Linked DNA regions of Sus scrofa. The protein of the gene in region 4 interacts with the protein of the main gene of each other region in a pairwise test. Links are inferred from orthologs where the notes say so. Each region holds a gene or a part of one and is shown on either strand. Other genes may lie near its edges.

What was found.
Region 1: the proteins of PIAS2 (region 4) and GFAP interact in binary tests that used the Homo sapiens proteins (3 or more experiments, as listed by UniProt). The two-hybrid records come from large-scale screens. The link is inferred for Sus scrofa from reciprocal best matches to the Homo sapiens genes PIAS2 and GFAP.
Region 2: the proteins of PIAS2 (region 4) and TSR2 interact in binary tests that used the Homo sapiens proteins (3 or more experiments, as listed by UniProt). The two-hybrid records come from large-scale screens. The link is inferred for Sus scrofa from reciprocal best matches to the Homo sapiens genes PIAS2 and TSR2.
Region 3: the proteins of PIAS2 (region 4) and NAV2 interact in binary tests that used the Homo sapiens proteins (3 or more experiments, as listed by UniProt). The two-hybrid records come from large-scale screens. The link is inferred for Sus scrofa from reciprocal best matches to the Homo sapiens genes PIAS2 and NAV2.
Region 5: the proteins of PIAS2 (region 4) and CCNDBP1 interact in binary tests that used the Homo sapiens proteins (3 or more experiments, as listed by UniProt). The two-hybrid records come from large-scale screens. The link is inferred for Sus scrofa from reciprocal best matches to the Homo sapiens genes PIAS2 and CCNDBP1.

What each region holds. Positions count from the first base shown.
Region 1 is NC_010454.4:18,455,024-18,459,082, reverse strand, and holds the start of GFAP (glial fibrillary acidic protein), read right to left. Parts: upstream 2,803-4,059; 5' UTR 2,789-2,802; coding exon 2,340-2,788; intron 1,338-2,339; coding exon 1,277-1,337; intron 1,105-1,276; coding exon 1,009-1,104; intron 1-1,008.
Region 2 is NC_010461.5:47,185,447-47,189,415, reverse strand, and holds the start of TSR2 (pre-rRNA-processing protein TSR2 homolog), read right to left. Parts: upstream 2,807-3,969; 5' UTR 2,330-2,806; coding exon 2,246-2,329; intron 2,080-2,245; coding exon 1,989-2,079; intron 1-1,988. UniProt on the Homo sapiens protein: May be involved in 20S pre-rRNA processing.
Region 3 is NC_010444.4:39,331,671-39,335,184, reverse strand, and holds part of NAV2 (neuron navigator 2), read left to right. Parts: intron 1-2,537; coding exon 2,538-3,005; intron 3,006-3,514. UniProt on the Homo sapiens protein: Possesses 3' to 5' helicase activity and exonuclease activity. Involved in neuronal development, specifically in the development of different sensory organs.
Region 4 is NC_010443.5:96,514,772-96,518,285, reverse strand, and holds part of PIAS2 (E3 SUMO-protein ligase PIAS2), read left to right. Parts: intron 1-2,276; coding exon 2,277-2,751; intron 2,752-3,514. UniProt on the Homo sapiens protein: Functions as an E3-type small ubiquitin-like modifier (SUMO) ligase, stabilizing the interaction between UBE2I and the substrate, and as a SUMO-tethering factor.
Region 5 is NC_010443.5:128,266,718-128,270,739, forward strand, and holds the start of CCNDBP1 (cyclin-D1-binding protein 1), read right to left. Parts: upstream 2,808-4,022; 5' UTR 2,681-2,807; coding exon 2,527-2,680; intron 2,352-2,526; coding exon 2,292-2,351; intron 2,000-2,291; coding exon 1,920-1,999; intron 1-1,919. Other genes in the region: TMEM62 (transmembrane protein 62), read right to left, coding at 3,393-3,719. UniProt on the Homo sapiens protein: May negatively regulate cell cycle progression. May act at least in part via inhibition of the cyclin-D1/CDK4 complex, thereby preventing phosphorylation of RB1 and blocking E2F-dependent transcription.

The DNA.
Region 1 (4,059 bases), on a different chromosome or scaffold from region 4:
CAGGCTGTCACTGGAGTGTCCCTACGGCCTCATGCTCTCTTCTGCTGCCCTCAGACACGGATGTTGGCTCAGGGAGATGGGGCACGCCTAGTCAGAGGAAGTGGCATGACCCAGGCTAGGGGCAGTTTGGGGTAGTTAACGTGCTCCTCTCAGGCCCGGAAGACAGTGAGTCTGTGATCCCCTGGGAGAGTGACCGAGTCCCTGTGGAATGGGTGTGCCTATGGGTTCCCAGGTTCCATAAAGTCACAGATTCTGAAGCCATAATCTGAAGTCAGAGCTTAGTGGTCTTTTTTTTTTTTTTTTTCACGTGAGTGGCTGTCATGTGAATGGAGACAGGCGGCAGAGGGGCTGGAGTCAGAGACTAACTGGGTGACACTGGCACGTTCTTTAACCTCTCTGGGCGTCAGTGTCTTCTGTGAAAAGGAGACAACACTGGGAGAGTTCCTGTCTCACAGGACGGCCCTGAAGAAAAGCGGGAGGCAACTCGGCCCATTGCAGTTCTCAGTAAGTGGAGTCTGTGTCTGTGTGCATTTTACCAGGGGCCGGGGGCTGGGCCGGGGGTCTCTTATCTCTATCTTTGTTTCCCTCAGTCTCTCTCTGTCTTCTCTCTCTCTCTCTTTCATTTTCTTCCTCTGTCAATCTCCCTCTCTTTCTGTTGTTTTTAGGGTCACACTCGAGGCATATGGAAGTTCCCAGGCTAGGGGTCAAATTGGAGCTGCAGTTGTGGTCTACACCACAGCCACAGCAAGGCCAGATCCGAGCTGCATCTATGAACTACACCGCAGCTCGCAGCGACGCCGGATCCTTAACCTACTGAGCGAGGCCAGGCATAGAACTGGCATCCTCATGGACACTGTGCCAGATTTTAACCCGCTGAGCCACACAGGACCTCCTCTGTCTCTTTCTCTCTGTCTCTGAATATCTCTGTCTCAATCTCTCTGTTTCTCTGTCTCTTTCCCTCAGTTCCCCTCTCTGTGTGGGCCTTTCCTCCCTCTGTCCTGGCCTTACCTCGTCATGGATCTTCCTCAAGAACCTGATTTCCTCCTCCAAAGACTCGATCTTCCTCTCCAGATCCAGCCGGGCCAGGGTGGCTTCATCCGCCTCCTGGAGTAGGGTGGGGGACAAGGGGCTGCTCTGACTCCAGACTCCTCCTCTCCCCTTCCTGGTTTCGTCTGATCCCTCCTTTGCTCCGGAGGCCTGGGCTTGGGGGCTCTGGTTGGGTGGGCTGCCATCAACACTCTCCCCCTCCCTGGTCCCTCCCTTCCATCACCCTGACCTGTCGATAGGTGGCCAGGTTGTTCTCAGCCTCCAGCCTCAGGTTGGTTTCATCCTGGAGCCTGGGGGAAGGGGACACATTCCTGGGTCCAGGTTCTTCTGAAGACTCTTGGACCCCTGCCCAGAGTCTCCTTAGAGGTGGCTTCCAGAGGGATCCTCTGCCTCCCCCTCCTACTCCCAGGACCAGTGGAGTGGCAGAGGGAGTGGGTGAGGGGGGCAGAATGATCCTAGGCAGAGTCTTGGCCAGGAGGCTGAGCAGACAAAGGCCTTGGCTTGAACTCATTACCAAGGTGCTTATCAGGGTTGGTGCACCTGTTCCTGCTTACACAGGTGCTTCCACCAATGTACAATCACTGCTGCGCACACACACACACACACACACACACACACACACATCCTCCAGCACTTGAGGGCACACACGCATCCCCTGCAAGTTTGGCTAGCACCATGGCCCTGGGGTTTCCTCTGACTTTTAGAAATGGGTTTTATTAAGGTCTCCACTTCACAGCTGTGCAAGCTGAAGTGTCCTTCTAGGGTCATAAGCTGGTGACAGGCAGAGCTGCCTGTGTTCTGAAGCCAGGCCTGCCTGCTCTTTCCCCTATTTCCTTTACCCTCGAGCCCAGTCCTCCTGGTGCACCCCAAATCTCCTTCCAGCTCCTCCTTTAGACAGATCTGGGCTCACATTCACACAGCATGCCCCCCGTCCACCGTCACAAGGCCCTACAGTGAAAGAAAGGCAGAGACCCCTGCCTGCTGGGGTCTCTGACTGTCCCGCACAGCTTTCCTCAGCAGGGAAGCTCTGGGAATACCCCGGCTCCCTGGAGGAAGGTCTTTGGGAACCAGACGCCTGAGACTCTGGGCCTCCTTTCCCCTAGACCCTCCATCACCTTGGGGAGCAAGGAGAGCCCTCCCCTCCCAGAGGTGGGAAACCGGGGGGCAGAGAGGCAGAGCCCCTGCCTGAGACCCTGCAGGTCTGCCTGCCTGCAGGTGCTCCCCCTCGGGAGCTCAGTCCTCCCTGATCACGAGGCCCCCTCCTCAGCCCCTCTCCACGGCCCCCTCCTCACTTCTGCCTCAGGGTGCCCAGGTCCTGCGCCAGGTTGTCCCTCTCCACCTCGAGCCGGGCGCCGTTGGCGGTGAGTTGGTCGAGCCGCAGCCGCAGCTCTCGCAGCTCGGCCTGGTAGACGTCGGCCAGCTTGGTGGGCTCCTTGGCCCGCAGCTGGTTCAGCTCGGCAGCCAGCGCCTTGTTCTGCTGCTCTAGGAAGCGCACTTTCTCGATGTAGCTGGCGAAGCGGTCGTTGAGTTCCATCATCTCTGCCCGCTCACTGGCCCGGGTCTCCTTGAAGCCAGTGTTGAGGGCCCCGGCCAGGGAGAAGTCCACCCGGGCCGGGAGTGGAGGCGGCATTCGAGCCAGGGACAGGCGGGGGCCAGGACCCAGGCGGCGGCCGCCCCCCACCGTTTCCAAGGAGGAGACATAGGAGCGGCGAGCCGCTGAGGTGACCCGTCTCCTCTCCATCCTGGCCTGGCTCTGCTGCCCCTGGGGATGTGCAGGCTTTATGGAGGAGTGGGCCGGCCTGGCACGGCCCAGGCTGCCCCTGGCAACGCCCCCCTGGCATAGCCTGAGGGGGTGGGGCTGGGCTGCAGCCCAGCCGTTAGGAGAGCGCCTCTCACCCCATCGGGGTCACTGCCCAGAGGCAGGCCTGGCTGCAGACAGAGGAACCAGTGGGCAGTTCGTGGGGCTGATGCTGGGTCTGGGGACCTGATCCCTGGGCAAGGAGACCTCTTCTCTGTGATTTGGGTCAGGGAAGGGCTGGACCTGATGACCTCTGACCTGTCTTCTAACTTTTTTTTTTCTTTTGTCTTTTTAGGGCTGCACCCACAGCATATGGAAGTTCCCAAGGCTAGGGGTTGAATCAGAGCTGCAGCTGCCGGCCTACACCGCAGTGCACGGCCACGCCGGATCCTTAACCCACGGAGTTAGGCTAGAGGTCAAACCCACGTCCTCGTGGATTCTAGTTGGGGTTCATAATCTGCTGAGCCACAGCAGAAAGTCCCCTGTCTTCTAACTCTTAGACCCCATATCCCAGGCCTTTCCTCGCTCCGTATTCTCCTTCCAGTGCTCGCTAGACGCTGGGAATTTGAAGAACAAACCTGTTCCCTACCCTCAAGGAACAGCCTGGGTTGTGGGTTTTGCCAGCCTCATTCTCAATGGCCCCCTGGAGCCCTCCCCTCGGAACCCAGTCGTCTGCATTCCCACCTTCCCCATCCCCCGCCTGGAGCTGTGGGGCCGTGGGCTGGAATCCCAATCAGCCCTTTGTCCGGAGGGTCAATGGAGACCTCTGTCCAGCAGTGTGGGGACAACGGAAGGAACGTGCGCCCCCTGATAGGGCAAGGGGGTCAGGCGCTGACTCTCTGGTCCTCTCCCTGAGACGCTCTCAGTCTCATTAGGCTCATGCCGCCGCTGTCCTGGCTCAGCCTCCCTGCACCTCCACCCCCAGAGCCAGGCCTTGACAGCTCCACAAAGCAGTTATGAATGAGCTGGCTGTCCCACCTCCCATCTCTGTTCCTGTGACACGCTGTTTCCCTGGCCACCCCCTCACCTCGCTCACACGCTAGAGATTTATCTCCTTTAAGTTCCCACGCATCAGGTTGAGAAGCTGGGAAAGCCCTCTGGAGATGGATGGGTTTGGGAACTTAGGAGCCGGTGGGTCCAAACTGGGAGCCAGGAACCTGGACCCTGCTGCCCCTCAAGATTTCAGATCCATCCACCCCTTCTATCTGGTTGCC
Region 2 (3,969 bases), on a different chromosome or scaffold from region 4:
CAATCCACACTACTCTCCACCTATTTAGAGGGTGCCTCAGACCCTCCTTTCCCAAAGCCAGATTCATCACCTTACCTTCCAAACCTACTTCTCAATCCTCCAGGGTTCTCCTATTCCATAAAAGGTATCTGAGCCACGCAACGACTCAAACCAGAAACCTGCCTCATGCCCCCCCCCACTCCTCTACAGCCAAACAATTTCCAAGATTCTAATCCACCCCTTCTTTTCCGTAACTATTGCCACTGCCTCATCATCTTCAAGACAGAAACAGTCTTCTCATCAGTTGTTCCCTCTCCAGTCCAAGCTCCATACTGACTACTTTTTTTTTTTTTTTTTTTTGTCTTTTTGCCTTTTCTTGGGCCGCTCCCACGGCATATGGAGGTTCCCAGGCTAGGGGTCGAATCGGAGCTGTAAACACTGGCCTACGCCAGAGCCACAGCAACTCGGGATCCGAGCTGTGTCTGCAACCTACACCACAGCTCACGGCAACGCCGGATTGTTAACCCACTGAGCAAGGGCAGGGACCGAACCCGCAACCTCATGGTTCCTAGTCGGATTTGTTAACCACTGCGCCACGACGGGAACCCCATACTGGCTACTTTCTATAGCCAGTAAACCCCATCCTATTAAATCCTGCTCATGAAGTTTTATCTCCTACTGCAGTGTTTCATATTCTGCTTATAAGACGTAACTGTCCTGCTGGACTTTAAGGGAAGCTATTCATAGAAAAATCATGGTAAACAAGTTTCTTTTTGGTGGTTCTTATCAGAACCTTTAATATGATAATGATTATGGTGACTCTTAAGAGCTGAAGAGCTTTTTTTATATCATGTGACTGGAGAAGTGGTTTCTTCACTGAACACCTAAAAAGAACTAGTCTTCCATAGCATATATTTTTGACAAATGCTGGCCTAAAGGATAAAATCAAAGGCCCACAAATCCTTCCATGTTTCACCCTTTTCCAGGGGCCTCCCCAACCAACCTCCAGCCTCATTCTCTATCACTCCCCCCTCCCACACCCCCACAAGCACACCATACAGCCCTACTCTAACACTGAGCTCCCTGCCACTTTCCAAATATAACACATAATCTCCTCATACCACAGAACTTATTTTTGAGTGTTGCTCTGCCTCTCCCACCTAGTTAACTCCTTCTCATCCCTTAAAACTCACCCAAAAGCCACCTTACCCTAACAATCTCCAAAAGAAGCCTCTTCCTCAGTCTCACATTACCCAAGCACCCTGAGATCTTTATTAGAACACCTACCACCCTGTGAGTAAAAACCTATTTACTTATCTAGATCCCTCACCAAATAATAAATTTTTTTCAGAGAAAGGTCTCTGCCTAATGCCATCTCCAAGGCCAAGAAAACTAAGTGAATAATTTAAAAAAAATCATACTTCACAAAAGATCACCTAAAGGGCCCCTATTCTTATAGAACCTACAAGACACATCAAAGGTGTAGATCTCTGCTGTCCAAATAATCAAATGTGGTTACTGAGCACTTAAAATGTGGCTAGGCCAAGACAAATTGGGATGTGATAAAACTGCAAAACACCCACCAGATTTTGAAAACTTAATACTAAAAAAAAATGTAATACATCTCGTTAATAATGTTTTATATTGATTACATGTTGAAATACTTTGGATATATTGAGTTGAACAATATTCATTTCACCTGCTTTTTATATCAAAGTGGTTGCTGAAAAATTTTTAATTACATGATGTGACTGGCATTATATTTCGATTTGGACAGCGCTGGTGGATACTTTCATATCCATGTTACAAATTAGGAAACTGAGTCTCAGGGGAGTAAAACGACATATCCAACGCGATACAAGGAGTCAATGGCATGGCCCTAAGGCACTCGAACTCAGGATTCAGACTCTGGTATCAGCAGACAATTGTTCAAGAGGAAGTGCAGATTCACCAAGACCGCCCTCCTCCCCGCGCCCCTAAACAAGTCCTAGGGCCTTAAATTCACTCACCATTGCGGAAGAAATACTCCTCCACTGCACCCCCTAGCCACTCAGCCTTCTCCTGGCTATGCACACCTCCAAAGCCGTTCTCCACAGCGATCTGCGAACACAGGCCCGAGCCCACCACGTCAGCCCAGGAACCGGCCTGCGGTGGCGCAAGGGTCCGCTTCTGACGCCGCCCAACCAACTAAGCCTTGGGCAGCTCACCGGCCAACTCCTGTTCTGGCCCGGTCCCTAACCTTTGTTCCAGCTGTGTCCTCGCTCACCTGCAAGGCGGGCCAAGCCTCCAACGCTGCGCGGATGCCAGCCCGGAAAAGCGTTAGAGACTCCTCTGCAGCGCCCGCCATCATCCTGCTGCGGACCACGTGACGCCCAAGCAGGCCAATCCCTGCGCAGCACCGCCCAGGCAGAAGGAGTAGGAAGCCAAGCTTGAGAACGCAGATTCTCCCTTTCCGCTGATCTGGCAGCAAGACTAGAGCAATAGAAAAGTCTGTCGAGTAATCGATGACACCGCCCGGGTTACTCAAGAAGTGGAAGACGCTTGGGGCCGAGAGTTCCGGACCCGTGGGTATTGCGCAGAAAAGATGTGAGGAACTTATTAAAGATAAAGGACAGAGGAAGCAACCTCAGGTAGCATAGCCTAAAAGTCTGCATTTAGAAATGCATCCTAGGAGTTCCATCTGTGGCTCAGCGGGTTAAGACCCCGACTCATCTCCATGAGGATGCGGCTTCAAGCCCTGGCTTCGCTCAGTGGGTTAAAGGATCTGGCGTTGCCGTGAGCTAAGGTGTAGGTCTCAGGCACAGTTTGGATACGGCGTTGCAGCTGCAACTCCAATTCGACCCCTAGCGGGGGAACCTCCATATGGTGTAGGTGTGGCCCTAAAAAATAAATTAATTGATTGATTAAATAAAATAAAAAAGAAATAAATAACAGAAAGACATTTGTGAAATTCACAAATAGGTGGGAATTAGTACACTTCTAAATAACTAATGGGTCAAAGAAAAAAAAATCGGAAGACGTCTTGAAATGACTTGAAACTAAAGCAGGGCAAGGACCAAAATTATGATCAGTGCTCAGGGTGAATCCACACTTTGAAGGGCCTGAGGCAGATAGAATTTTGTAAGCCCTCTTTAAGAAAAATAGTACAAATTTAGGTGTGCAAGTAAGTATAGCTTTAGATTTATAAAAGAAATTTTTAAATTTACAAATTCCAATTTTTTTTGGGGGGGGGAACATGCCTGTGACATGTGTTAGTTCCCAGGCTAGGGATCCAGCTGGCACCACAGCAGTAACCAGAGCCACAGCATTAACAATGCTGATCCTTAACCCACTGAGCCACTAGGGAATTCCTACAAATTCCAATTAAAAAAACCTGACAAATACCACAAACATCCTCAAAACTAGAGAAATAAAATAATTGCCTGACTCACCTCTCTACTAATTTTTCCTTTATTTTTTATTTTATTATTTTTTTTTGGCTGCCAACATTTTGATATCTTCCTGTAAATAAATAGGACAATTATTTTATAATAACATTTTCAAGAGAGAATAAAAAGAATTCAATTGCATTCAGTTGATCAAAATTTTTTATTATTGTAGTTTAGAAAAGTTTCAACTTCACAGCTCATTGTTAGTAGAATAAAATTTAAGATTGTGTTAAATTTGGGGAAACCTCTAGTTTCTTTTACATGTGAGCTATAAAATTTTATGGTACTTTGTTTTTGTGCAGCAATAATTGTCTCAAATTGACAATGCTCAACAACCAGGGGCTTGGAAGTGTCTTGTGTAAGTGTGAGTTACTAGAGGCTTAAACTTTTAGTTATATTATTTCTGTGATAAATCCATCTCTATGCAATGCTAGAGGAGAAAGGAGCACAGGAAGCTATGGGAGTCCAGCAGAGGGGGTTTCTGATCCAGCCTTGGGAATTATGGCAAATCTCTCAGAGATAATGCCTCTGACTTAAAAGTTTGAGTGGAATTTTCCCAGGG
Region 3 (3,514 bases), on a different chromosome or scaffold from region 4:
ATTCGCTCTTTGGTATTATAGATTTCCTTTAGTAACTACAAAGGCATTTTACTAGACCCTTAGGCTAGTGTAATAGAATACTTGAAAATGCAAGCAGCCTCTTAGGCTCTGCATTGAGCACCTTTCAGCCCATTCCTGGCAATTACATTTTTCCTAAATCGTTAAGGTGTTCTGAATTCCCTCCCGTGTATCAGTATGGAGAAGAGGACTCTTAGGTGAAGTGTGATTGCTCCCTTGAAATGGTTTGAAGGACTAACAGACAATAGATTGGGCTTTCTCTGTGTAGTTACATGTAGGATGAATAATAATGCCTAAAAAGTCAGAAAAAGGTAGATTATGAGACTGATGCACTGCCTACTGCACTAAGGAGGCAACTAGAAGAAGGTGGATTAGCTTTTGGTTTCATAACAACTGGAAGTACTTAGCAATGGTGCCAGTTAGCATGTGGAGTAGGGTAGTGAGGTCCCCATCACTGGAAGTATGTAAGCACTCTCAAGCCAAGATTCTACAACAGGATAGTTCTTTCTCTATCACCAGGCAAAAAGTGTTCCTTATCTGTCACCAGACATTGTGGTGAAGGTTAATAATGTGTTCACTTATTTATTTTGATAATACTTGAAATATCTAAGGATTGTTTAGAGGACAGAAACCAAACACATTACTTTGGGTAGCCAGATGACAGGAAAACCTGCTTATCATAATATGATAATATGTAGTAGTATCTTCTCTTCAGAGATGCTTGTTCCATAGGGTTTTTAAATTTGTTTATGCTGGAGTATAGCTGATTTACAATGTGGTGTTAGTTGAAGGTGTACAGCAAAATAATTCAGTTATACATATACATATATCCATTCTTTTTCAGATTATTTTCCCATATAGCTTATTACAGAAAATTGAGTAGACTTCCCTGTGCTATACAGTAGGTCCTTATTGATTATCTACTTTATATGTATAGTCGTATGTATCTGTTAATTCCAAACTCCTACTTTATCCCTCCCCACTGTGTTTCCCCTTTGGTAACCATAAGTTTGTTTTCCAAGTCTGTGAATCTGTTTCTATTTTGTAAATGAGTTCATTGGTATCTCTTCTTTTCTCTTTTTTTTTTTTTTTTCGATTCTACACATAGGTGATATCATATGATATTTGTCTTGACTTACCTCACTTAGTATGATAATCTCTGTGTCCATCCATGTTGCTGCAAATGGCACTATTCCATTCTTTTTATGGCTTAAGTAATATTGCATTGTGGGTATGTACCACACATTCTTTATCCAGTCTTCTGTGGATGGGCATTTGGTTTACGTCCCATGTCTTGGCTATTGTAAATAGTGCTGCAGTGAATATTGGGTGCATGTATCTTTTTATATTATGGTTTTCTCTGGATATATGCCCAGGAGTGGATCATATGGTAGTTCTATTTTTATTTTTTTAAGGGACCCCCATAATGTCCTCTATAGTGGTTGCACCAATTTACATTCCCCACCCCCCGCCACAGTGTAGGAGGGCTCCCTTTTCTCCACACCTTCTCCAGCATTCTTTGTAGAGTTTTTGATGATGGCTCTTCTGACTGGTGTGAAGTGATACCTCATTGTGGTTTTGATGTGCAGTTCTCTAATAGGGATGTTGAGCACCTTTTCATGTGCCTTTTGTCCATCTGTATCCATCAGAGTTTTAGTGGATAGAATGAAGCCCTTACATTACTAGAGCATGAACTTTAAGACCTTTGACTTTAAGACAATTTCTCCATCCTACTCTCTAGCCCTCTGTCAAGAGAAGAGGGAATCGTGTGCCATTCCCTGTATTCTGATAGCACGTTTTTGGTCCTGGGCAGTGGAGGAGATGACAGGGAAAAGCATTTGTGTGTGACTGTCACAGAGACACAGTTCACACACAGACTGTCTGGTCTGACACCTTGTGAATGTATCACTGGGTTTTGTGTGTATCACTGGGAAGTACTGGTTCTCTGGCTCTAAACGACGCATCTTCCAGGCTAGGCTTCCATGTGACAATAAATCTGTGAAGATACATTGCCCAGGCCACCTCCAGATCTAGACTCCTGTTCCTGATTATACATGTTTGCCTAGAGATCAAAGAAACCAAATCCTTTGGAACTGAACTGTCATAAATGGAGTGCCTGCTTTGTGCTGGGGGTCATGGATACAGAGGTGATTAAGACACAGCCCTTTTCCCTCTAGCTGTTTCCTGGGCAAGGGCAATTTTCTAGTTACTTCATTTATGGAAGGAAAAAGGAAGCAAGATCTTGGACCAGCGAGGGATAGGCCTGGAGAAAATTACTCCCCATCTCCCTTTTGGCTCAGATCCAGGGTCTCAGCTGCAGCCTGGAACATGAAGGTGAAGCCTTTGCAACACCAGGGCTCAGGCCCACTGTGTGGCAGCCTTTCCCAGTGGAGCCATTTCAGTAAGAAGGATCATGCCCCCACCCCAGGGACTCTGGCTGGCACTGTGCCCCACCTTCCTCTAACAACCCACCCTTGGCCTTGGGTGTTCAACCCACACAACCCTTTGTCTCTTCACAGACTCTTTGGTGGGAAGCCTGCCAAGCAAGTGCCCATCGCCACAGCCGAAAACATGAAAAACTCAGTGGTCATCTCCAACCCTCATGCCACCTTGAGCCAGCCAGGTAACTTAGAGTCCCCCTCGGGCAGCGGCGTCCTGAGCAGCGGGAGCAGCAGCCCTCTCTACAGTAAGAATGTGGACAGCACCCAGTCCCCTCTAGCCTCCAGCCCCAGTTCCGCCCACTCGGGCCCCTCCAACAGCCTCACCTGGGGCACCAACGCCAGCAGCTCCTCGGCCGTCAGCAAGGATGGCCTGGGCTTCCAGTCGGTCAGCAGCCTCCACACCAGCTGCGAGTCCATTGACATCTCCCTCGGCAGCGGAGGGGCACTGAGTCACAACTCCTCCACCGGCCTCCTCGCCTCCTCCAAGGACGATGCCCTTACCCCCTTTGTCAGAACCAACAGTGTGAAGACCACACTGTCTGAAAGGTTGGTGCCGTGCGCTTGGCTGCCTTTACCTCCCCAAAGACGCCCTTTCAAGAGCCAGAAGATTACGTTAGGAAGCCCAGAGGTGAATTCACCTTGGCTACAAGATTTCTCTCTGATCACTGCCATCTTTCCACGGGGCAGCCAGTTTGGGGGTGGAGTTAAGCCCGGCTCTGCTTCCTCTTATCTTTCTCATTGTGGTTATTCTTAGTGCGCGGAGCGGCTAGAAGTCTCAGGGGGCAGATGTCATACTTCCATGCAAAACGGCTTTCCGCCTTTGAGGTCCTTCCATTTTACTATGCTTGTTTGTCCACTGCGTCTTTCTCCACCCCTCGTGGTTGCGCAGGCGCAGTAGGTGGCGGCGGCAGCCTTGGAGCGTGGGGGGCGGGGTACCCCTTAAGCAGCTAAGCAGATGCGCTGGTCCTCGGGGCCAACACCGTCTTACCGAAGGGCTGCGGGCCAGTGTGATGGAAAATCAGGAAACCAGAATGGTCCTCAGAGCTCTGAGTCTC
Region 4 (3,514 bases):
TCTCCATGTTTTAATGTCATTTATGCTACTGTAATGTAAGCAAATTTCAGTTGAGGTATCTTTTAGGATTGAGGACTTTGGGAAAGATGCATTGCATTTCTTGCTTGGGAGGAAACTTCCTGAAAAGTTGTCATAGTCGTCATAGTCCTTATTATGTATGAAACCTTGACTGTGACTGGTGTGTCATGAGATAGACCCCAGATTTTCTTGTTTTCCTTCTTCATTTTCCATAGCATAGGGCTAAGATAAATAAAATCTTCCACTTACACATGTGGGGAATGAAGCGAGTTAAAGTATAGTGATCTTGGTATTTGTGACATACGCTGCTATTAGAGTGTGATTTAGAGCCATACTGTCCAGTGTGGTAGCTACTAGCCACATGTGACTCCCTAAGCTCTTGAAATGGGTTAGTCTGAATTGAGTTATGCTCTCAGTATAAAATACACAGTGGATATTGAAGTCTTAGTATGAAAAATATCTCATGGGCATTTAAAAATGACTTTTTAAATCACAGAAATTGCTTACATGTTGAAATAATACTTTTGATATTTTGGGTTAAATAAAGCATATTATTCAAATTAATTTAAAATTTATTTTCATGTGGCTACTGGAAAATTTAGAATTATATAGATGGTTCCTGTTTCTTTCTTCCTTTTTTTTTTTTTTTTTTTTTTTTAGGGCCGCACCTGCAGGATGTGGAGGTTCCCAGGCTAGGGATCTAATTGGAGCTGCAGCTGCCGGCCTACACCATAGCCACAGCAACGTGGGATCCGAGCTGCGTCTGCGACCTACACCAGAACTCAGGCAATGCCAGATCCATAACCCACTGAACGAGGCCAGGGATTGAACCCACATTCTCATGGATCCTAGTTGGGTTCATTAACTGCTGAGCCATGAAGGGAACTCCCTCTGGTCCCTGTTTCTATTGGATAGCTCTATCAAGAGTATAAAGTGGTTTGCTAGAATTACAACTTAATATTCTCTGACTTGTACAGTATGAAATTTGGAGACGTAGTATATGAAGTAGAATTATAATTCAGCATGTCCATGCAGATTACTCTGATTTATTTAAATTTATTTGCATTTTGGAAAACTAGCAAGTGTTCTCAACAACTATTTTAAAAGCCAGTCAGAGTTTTAACAGGTGCGCCTGGGCTGTCAGTGAAACTTGAAAGTGCAGAAGGGAAGATTATTGTGAATCACTGGCAACTGTAGGTACTGCTCCTCCATACTTAGCAGGTTGAAAAGGAATCCCAGCCAGCTGTAGGGTGTGCAACGCCAAGGGAGGGGACAGGGAAGGTCTCCCTAATGTCAGTTTCTGAAAGAGCTTTTGGTCAGATCCAGATCTTACTCTTTCTGGCCAGGTGATGCCTGTGTGGTACAGTTCACTCTGACCCCAGTGTAGTTTACCTCCACGTTCAGAGTTGACTGAAAGTGACTTGAGAGGGATTTATGAGGCAACAAGTGGTCGGAAGAATTTACTAGGTTTTGTTGAATAAATAGAAGGTGAGAACGTAAAGCAAGAACCACTTATGATCTTTTATGTCTGAGAACAAGTCGGTAGAGTGGCAAGGAGGGAATCTTGCCCTTTAAGATTTACAACCACTCATATTCTTTCTGTTCAAGGTGTTTTTCACATTGGATACTTGGCTGGGAATTTCAGTCAGTTTAGAAGTTTGCTAAATAAGATGGATGTGATTTTTAGCTTTAATACTTAAAAATATCCTACTGAAGTTATCTGTTCCTTAAGAATTGAATTGGGGTGAAAATTGGATTTTTGGATTACAATTCTGCCTTGATTTTGTAGATTTCCTGTTTAGTATCAGAAGTTACAGATAATAGGGTTGCAGAAACCTAATTTTTGTTTAGTTTATTGTGTTAATACTGTAACAGACATTACATTGTGTATTGATAGGGCTTAGTTTTGACGAGGAACATTTTCATTGGTTATAGATTTCATAGTCATAAAGCAAATATGGGTTAACACTTGAGCATAATCAGATAATGAGGTGGTTAATAGAAACCAATAGATCATAGTATACCAAAATTGAGTACAGCAAAACATAATTAACACGATAACTTGAAGTAATTGGGAGAGGGTATGGCTTTATAAAGAGTAACAATTTTAAGTAATATGTGAAAATGCTGGTTACTAGCACATGCCTGTGGATGAATGCTGGATAAAAAATCAGATTTTACAGTATGTTTTAGATAGGGTTTTTATAATGCTTGAGGCTGACTTGGCTTATATCCCTTTTTTTTTCCTTTCCTTTTAGAATATGGTTTCTAGTTTTAGGGTTTCTGAACTACAAGTGTTACTAGGCTTTGCTGGACGGAATAAAAGTGGACGCAAGCATGACCTCCTGATGAGGGCGCTGCATTTATTGAAGAGCGGCTGCAGCCCTGCGGTTCAGATTAAAATCCGAGAACTGTATAGACGCCGATACCCACGGACTCTTGAAGGCCTTTCTGATTTATCCACAATCAAATCATCGGTCTTCAGTTTGGATGGTAGCTCATCGCCTGTAGAACCTGACTTGGCTGTGGCTGGAATCCACTCGTTGCCTTCCACTTCAGTTACACCTCACTCACCGCCCTCTCCTGTTGGTTCAGTGCTGCTTCAAGATACTAAACCCACCTTTGAGATGCAGCAGCCATCTCCCCCAATTCCTCCTGTCCATCCTGACGTGCAGTTAAAAAACTTGCCCTTTTATGATGTCCTTGATGTTCTTATCAAGCCCACAAGTTTAGGTAAGTGGTAGAGAAATCAGTTTCTTCTGGACAAGCGAGTAAATAAAGCAAGAGGCCTTCAACTATTAATGGTTTGCTATTAATAGTATAAAATTGAGGCATTAAAATGCCAAATGTCTAAATGTATAGATTTAAAAAAATTGGGAGTTCCCATCATGGCTTAGTGGTTAACGAACCCAACTAGCATCCATGAGGGCCAGGGTTCAATCCCTGGTGTTGCTCCGTTGGTTAAGGATCAGGTGTTGCTGTTAGCTGTGGTATAGGTGGCAGACGTGGCTCAGATCTGGTGTGGCTGTGGCTGTGGCTGGCGGCTGTAGCTCTGATTAGACCCCTATCCTGGGAACTTCCATGTGCCATAGGTGCGGCCATAAAAAGACCCAAAAAAAAAAAAAAAAAAAAAAAAGGCAACCATGACAGAAATCTAATATAAAACTTTTATTGATCAAGCTTTCTTTTTATAGCTTAGAACTCAAATTGCTTCTGTGTGTTTATGGACAGATGCAAATCTTATTTATTGCCTATGATTTCCACCTTTTGATACTTTTGATATTTTTACAAAAAGACTTCGTTTCTGTTTAACAGTTTCTGCTTTTAAACTGTTTTCCTAAGAAATAATCCTTTTATACTTTTTCCTAAAGTGACAGCGTTTGAGACATGCTTTATTTTTTATTTATTTATTTATTTTTGTCTTTTTGTCTTTTCTAGGGCTGCACCTGCAACATATGGAGGTTCCCAGGTTAGGGGTCTAATTGGAGTTGTAGCC
Region 5 (4,022 bases), about 32 Mb from region 4:
TCAAGAAATACTGGACATAGAGCATACCTGGCCACAGCCAACAATATTTACTTTCAAGGTTTTTACACTAAAGCATACACTCTTTTATCTAGCAATTCCATTTTTAGGAATTTTTACTGATATACAGATATAAACAAAGATTGTGTTAGGCAATTTAGAACAGCACTGTTTATAACAGTTACAAGTTGGAAACAGCTTAAATGTCCACACAGTACTGGTTAAATAAACTATGGTTGGCAGTTCCCATCATGGTGCAGTGGCAAGGAGCCCGACTAGGATCCATGAGGATGCGGGTTTGATCCCTGCCCTCGCTCAGTGGGTTAAGGATTGCTCCACTGTGAGCTGTGGTGGAGGTTGCAGATGCAACTTGGATCTGGCTTTGCTGTGGCTGTGCTGTAGGCTGGCAGCTACAGCTCCAATTGGACCCCTGGCCTGGGAACCTCCATATGTCGCAGGTGCAGCCCTAGAGAAGACCAAAAAAAAAAAAAAAAAAAAAAGACAAACATAAACTATAGTTATATCCACACTATTGAATATCACACAGCCATTACAAAGAATTGAGCAACTTTATACCTACTTCTAAAAATCAATTTTCAAGCTATGTTGTTAAATTTTTTTAAAAAAAAGGAAAGTCCAGAAAAATGTTTAAGATATTTTACCATAAGAAGAAGTAGGCACATACACGTTAAGTGGGTATATTCATAGTATATATAGGGAATAACACAAAAGGAATAAGCGAGGGGAGATATAAACTTTTCAGCACACTTAATTTAGGTTTTGATATCTTTTGAATTTTATACTAATTCATCGTTACTAATTATAAAAAATAATTCAATATAAAAAAGGTGTTTTGTAGTATAACAGAATAGGTGTAGCTTAGACATGAGACAGAACCTAATTTATTTTGTTTTTGTTTTTGGCTGGGCCCACAGCATGCCAAAGTTCCTGGGCCAGGGATGGAACACTTGCCACAGCTGTAACCAGAGCCACAGCAGTCACAATGCCAGATCCTTAACCTGCTGAGCCACAAGAGAATCCCAGAACCTAATTTTAATCCTAGCACCCCTACTTATCTACCTTAACCGAAGCCTTTGAGCCTGCTTGTTCATCTGTCAAATAGGGATCATGTATCTGAAAACACCCAGTAAATAGCAAGTGCTTAAAATAAAAAATTATCAGAAAGGAAATAACCAGGATGAACCTCAAAATGAACCAATATTGAGGTTCATTTTGAACCTCATTGAACTCACTGAAGTTCCTGTTGTGGCTCAGTGGTAACAAACCCAACTAGTATCCATGAGGACTCGAGTTTCACCCTGGCCTCGCTCAGTGGGTTAAGAATCCAGCGTTGCTATGAGCTGTGGTGTAGGTCTCAGACTGGCTTGGATCTGGTGTGGCTGTGGCATAGGCTGACAGCTGCAGCTCCAATTTGGCCCCTAGCATGGGAACTTCCATATGCCACAGGTACAGCCCTAAAAAGCAAACACAAAAAAAGAACCAATGTTTAGAAGAGCTGCCTACTCCATGTCAAGTACTGCACCTGACAACTTGGTTTTCAGAATATTCCTGTGATATGAGAACTCTTGAGGTTAATGTTCCTATGAAGTCAATAAGATATGCAATCTTACTTGACAGATGAGAAAACTAAATTCCACGCTAAGGAGTTTCCTGATCTCCTAGCAATTAAGGATTTGGTGTTGTCACTGCTGTGGCTCATGTTTGATTCCTGGCCTAGGAACTTCCGAGAGCTGCGGGTGCAGGAAAGAAAGAAAGGAGGAAAGAAGGAAGTCCGGGAGAAAGGGAGGGTGGGAGGAAGGAAGAAAGAAATCCCTTGCTTTGAGTGTAAAACATGAAAGAAAATGAAAGGATTCCTAAAGAATAAAGAGGCACTACAAGGATTCCAGAAAAGTAAAGCCCACCTGAGGAGATGGCAGTGGAAGTCGGGAAAAGACTACGGTCAGAGTAGTGGCTTCCGTGGACACTGTCACAGCTGCCTCATCTGGGAAGAGTCAGAGGAGGAGGCAGAAGCCAGTATGTTAGTGCCAAACGGATAAGGCTGCAGCTGCTGGACGGGCTGTGAAGATAACACGTTCCCTCTCCACCCTTGCCGGCTTAGACGTCTCAAAACACCTCCAAAAATCAGTGTTTTAAATCTCAACCTCAGAGATGCCGAGAATGGGTAAGATGAGGTATCCCCACAGAGGGGACAGGCCGGGGAAAAGCAGGAAGGAAAGGGACAGGGACAACTGAAGAGATGAGAGATGGCAGTCTCCAACAAGAGAGGCACTCACTGAATCTTCTCCAAAAGGTCTCCCGATTAAACTCCTTGGTAGTCTCCCGGGCTTCGCCGACTAGTGGGTTCGGCGTGTGGGCCGGGCCACCGCAAAAGGAAGAGCAGAGGTAAGCGGCGCTACCTGAGGCCCCCATTTCCTCCGCTCCCGCCGGGCCCTGCCGCCCTCCCCTCCCCCGACTCCCCCATCCCTCGCTCCCTGGTGCCGCCGCCGCCCTGGCCCGGCTTCTCCCTACCCACGCCGGTCCCTGTGGGGGTCCGTCTCCACTGTGTCAGCTCACCCCGCACTCCAGGAAGGAGCAACCGAAGCTCCTCTGCTAGGTGCCGGAGCTGCTCCAAAGGCACAGCCAGGGTGGGGACTGGAGCATCAGGGGGAGCTGCATTCGCCATCCCAGTAGGACTCTGGGAGCCAGCGTACTTAGCTGCCACGGAAGCCGCCTGAGCCGCACAGCAGTAGCCACTCCACTTCCGGGCGTCACGGATGCGGGTTCGCTTCCGGCAACAAGAGAAGCCGCCCGCCCCGCCCCGACGTGACTCCACCCCCGCGCCGGGCCCTGACCACACACGCAAGGCGACGCAGAGTTATTTCTTATTCATTATTCATTTATTTGATTAGTGGCAAACACCTCCGACAGAGGAAGCAGAGAACCCTGTGGGAAAAGAGGACCAGGAACTAATCAAGGGTAGTCAGGGTCAGGCCCAAGTTTGCACTGGTTCCCTGCCCCTCAAGTGGTGGCGCCCTTGTCCCCTGCTGAGTTCCAGACACTGTGCTAGGTACTTTACATGAGGTAACGTTAAAAAAACACTGGGTTCACATACTACCAAACACACCAGCTCCTGCCCTGTGGATCTCCTAGATTAGGGCTCTCTCTTCACAAAAGTAAATCAACCTTCTGCCTTCTTAGGGAAGGAAGGAATCATGGCATTATTTAGAGATTTTTTTCCTGCAGTCCATTATGCAGGAAATCAGTAGTGGGGAATCCCCCCACCTCCCAGGCGGCCAAGAAACAGCAGCTCCCTGAAGCTTGCCTACTAGTATTGGCCTTCCGCCTGTTTCGGGGGGCAGAGGCCTGGGCTAGAGCTGGATGATGAGACATGGCCTTCAGGAACTCAGGTGGCTTTTTAACTGCACTATGAAGGTTCCAAGCTCTGTGGAGTTCAGTGTCCACACACAACGAATGAGAACAGGTGTCACCAGTGTCAGCCAGGTCCGCAAAGGGGAGAATAATAAAGCTAGAGTGCCATATGTCATATGAAGAAAGTAGCAGGAATAAATCTGCCAGATGTACAGCAGTAACATAAGTAGATGAACAGGTATAATTTTCAAGTATTTTCCTTGACGGAGATGAGACCTGAAGTTGTGACCAAAGCACCGCTGCAGCAAACTCCAACACAGGTAAGCCATCAAGGGGATGTTAAAAAACACCAGCTGGAAAGAGCAGAACAGAACCATTAGATTATGAGCAAGTCCTGGAGGAGTTGGGTCTCACTAACACATTATTGGTGGCTCCTAAAAATATACTGCTTTCTCTCTTGGGAGTTAACAATCTGATTCATTATGTTTCAATCACACTTGCTTATAACACTTGCAATTTTTAGTTAGCTGTTTATTTGCCTGTATCCTTTCATTCACATTAAAGGCATTTTATTTATGTGAAAGCGGCAAATAATGTTTAAGTATATACAATACTCTTTTTTTTTTTTAGGCAGAGTGAGGGTGGATAGGGTATCA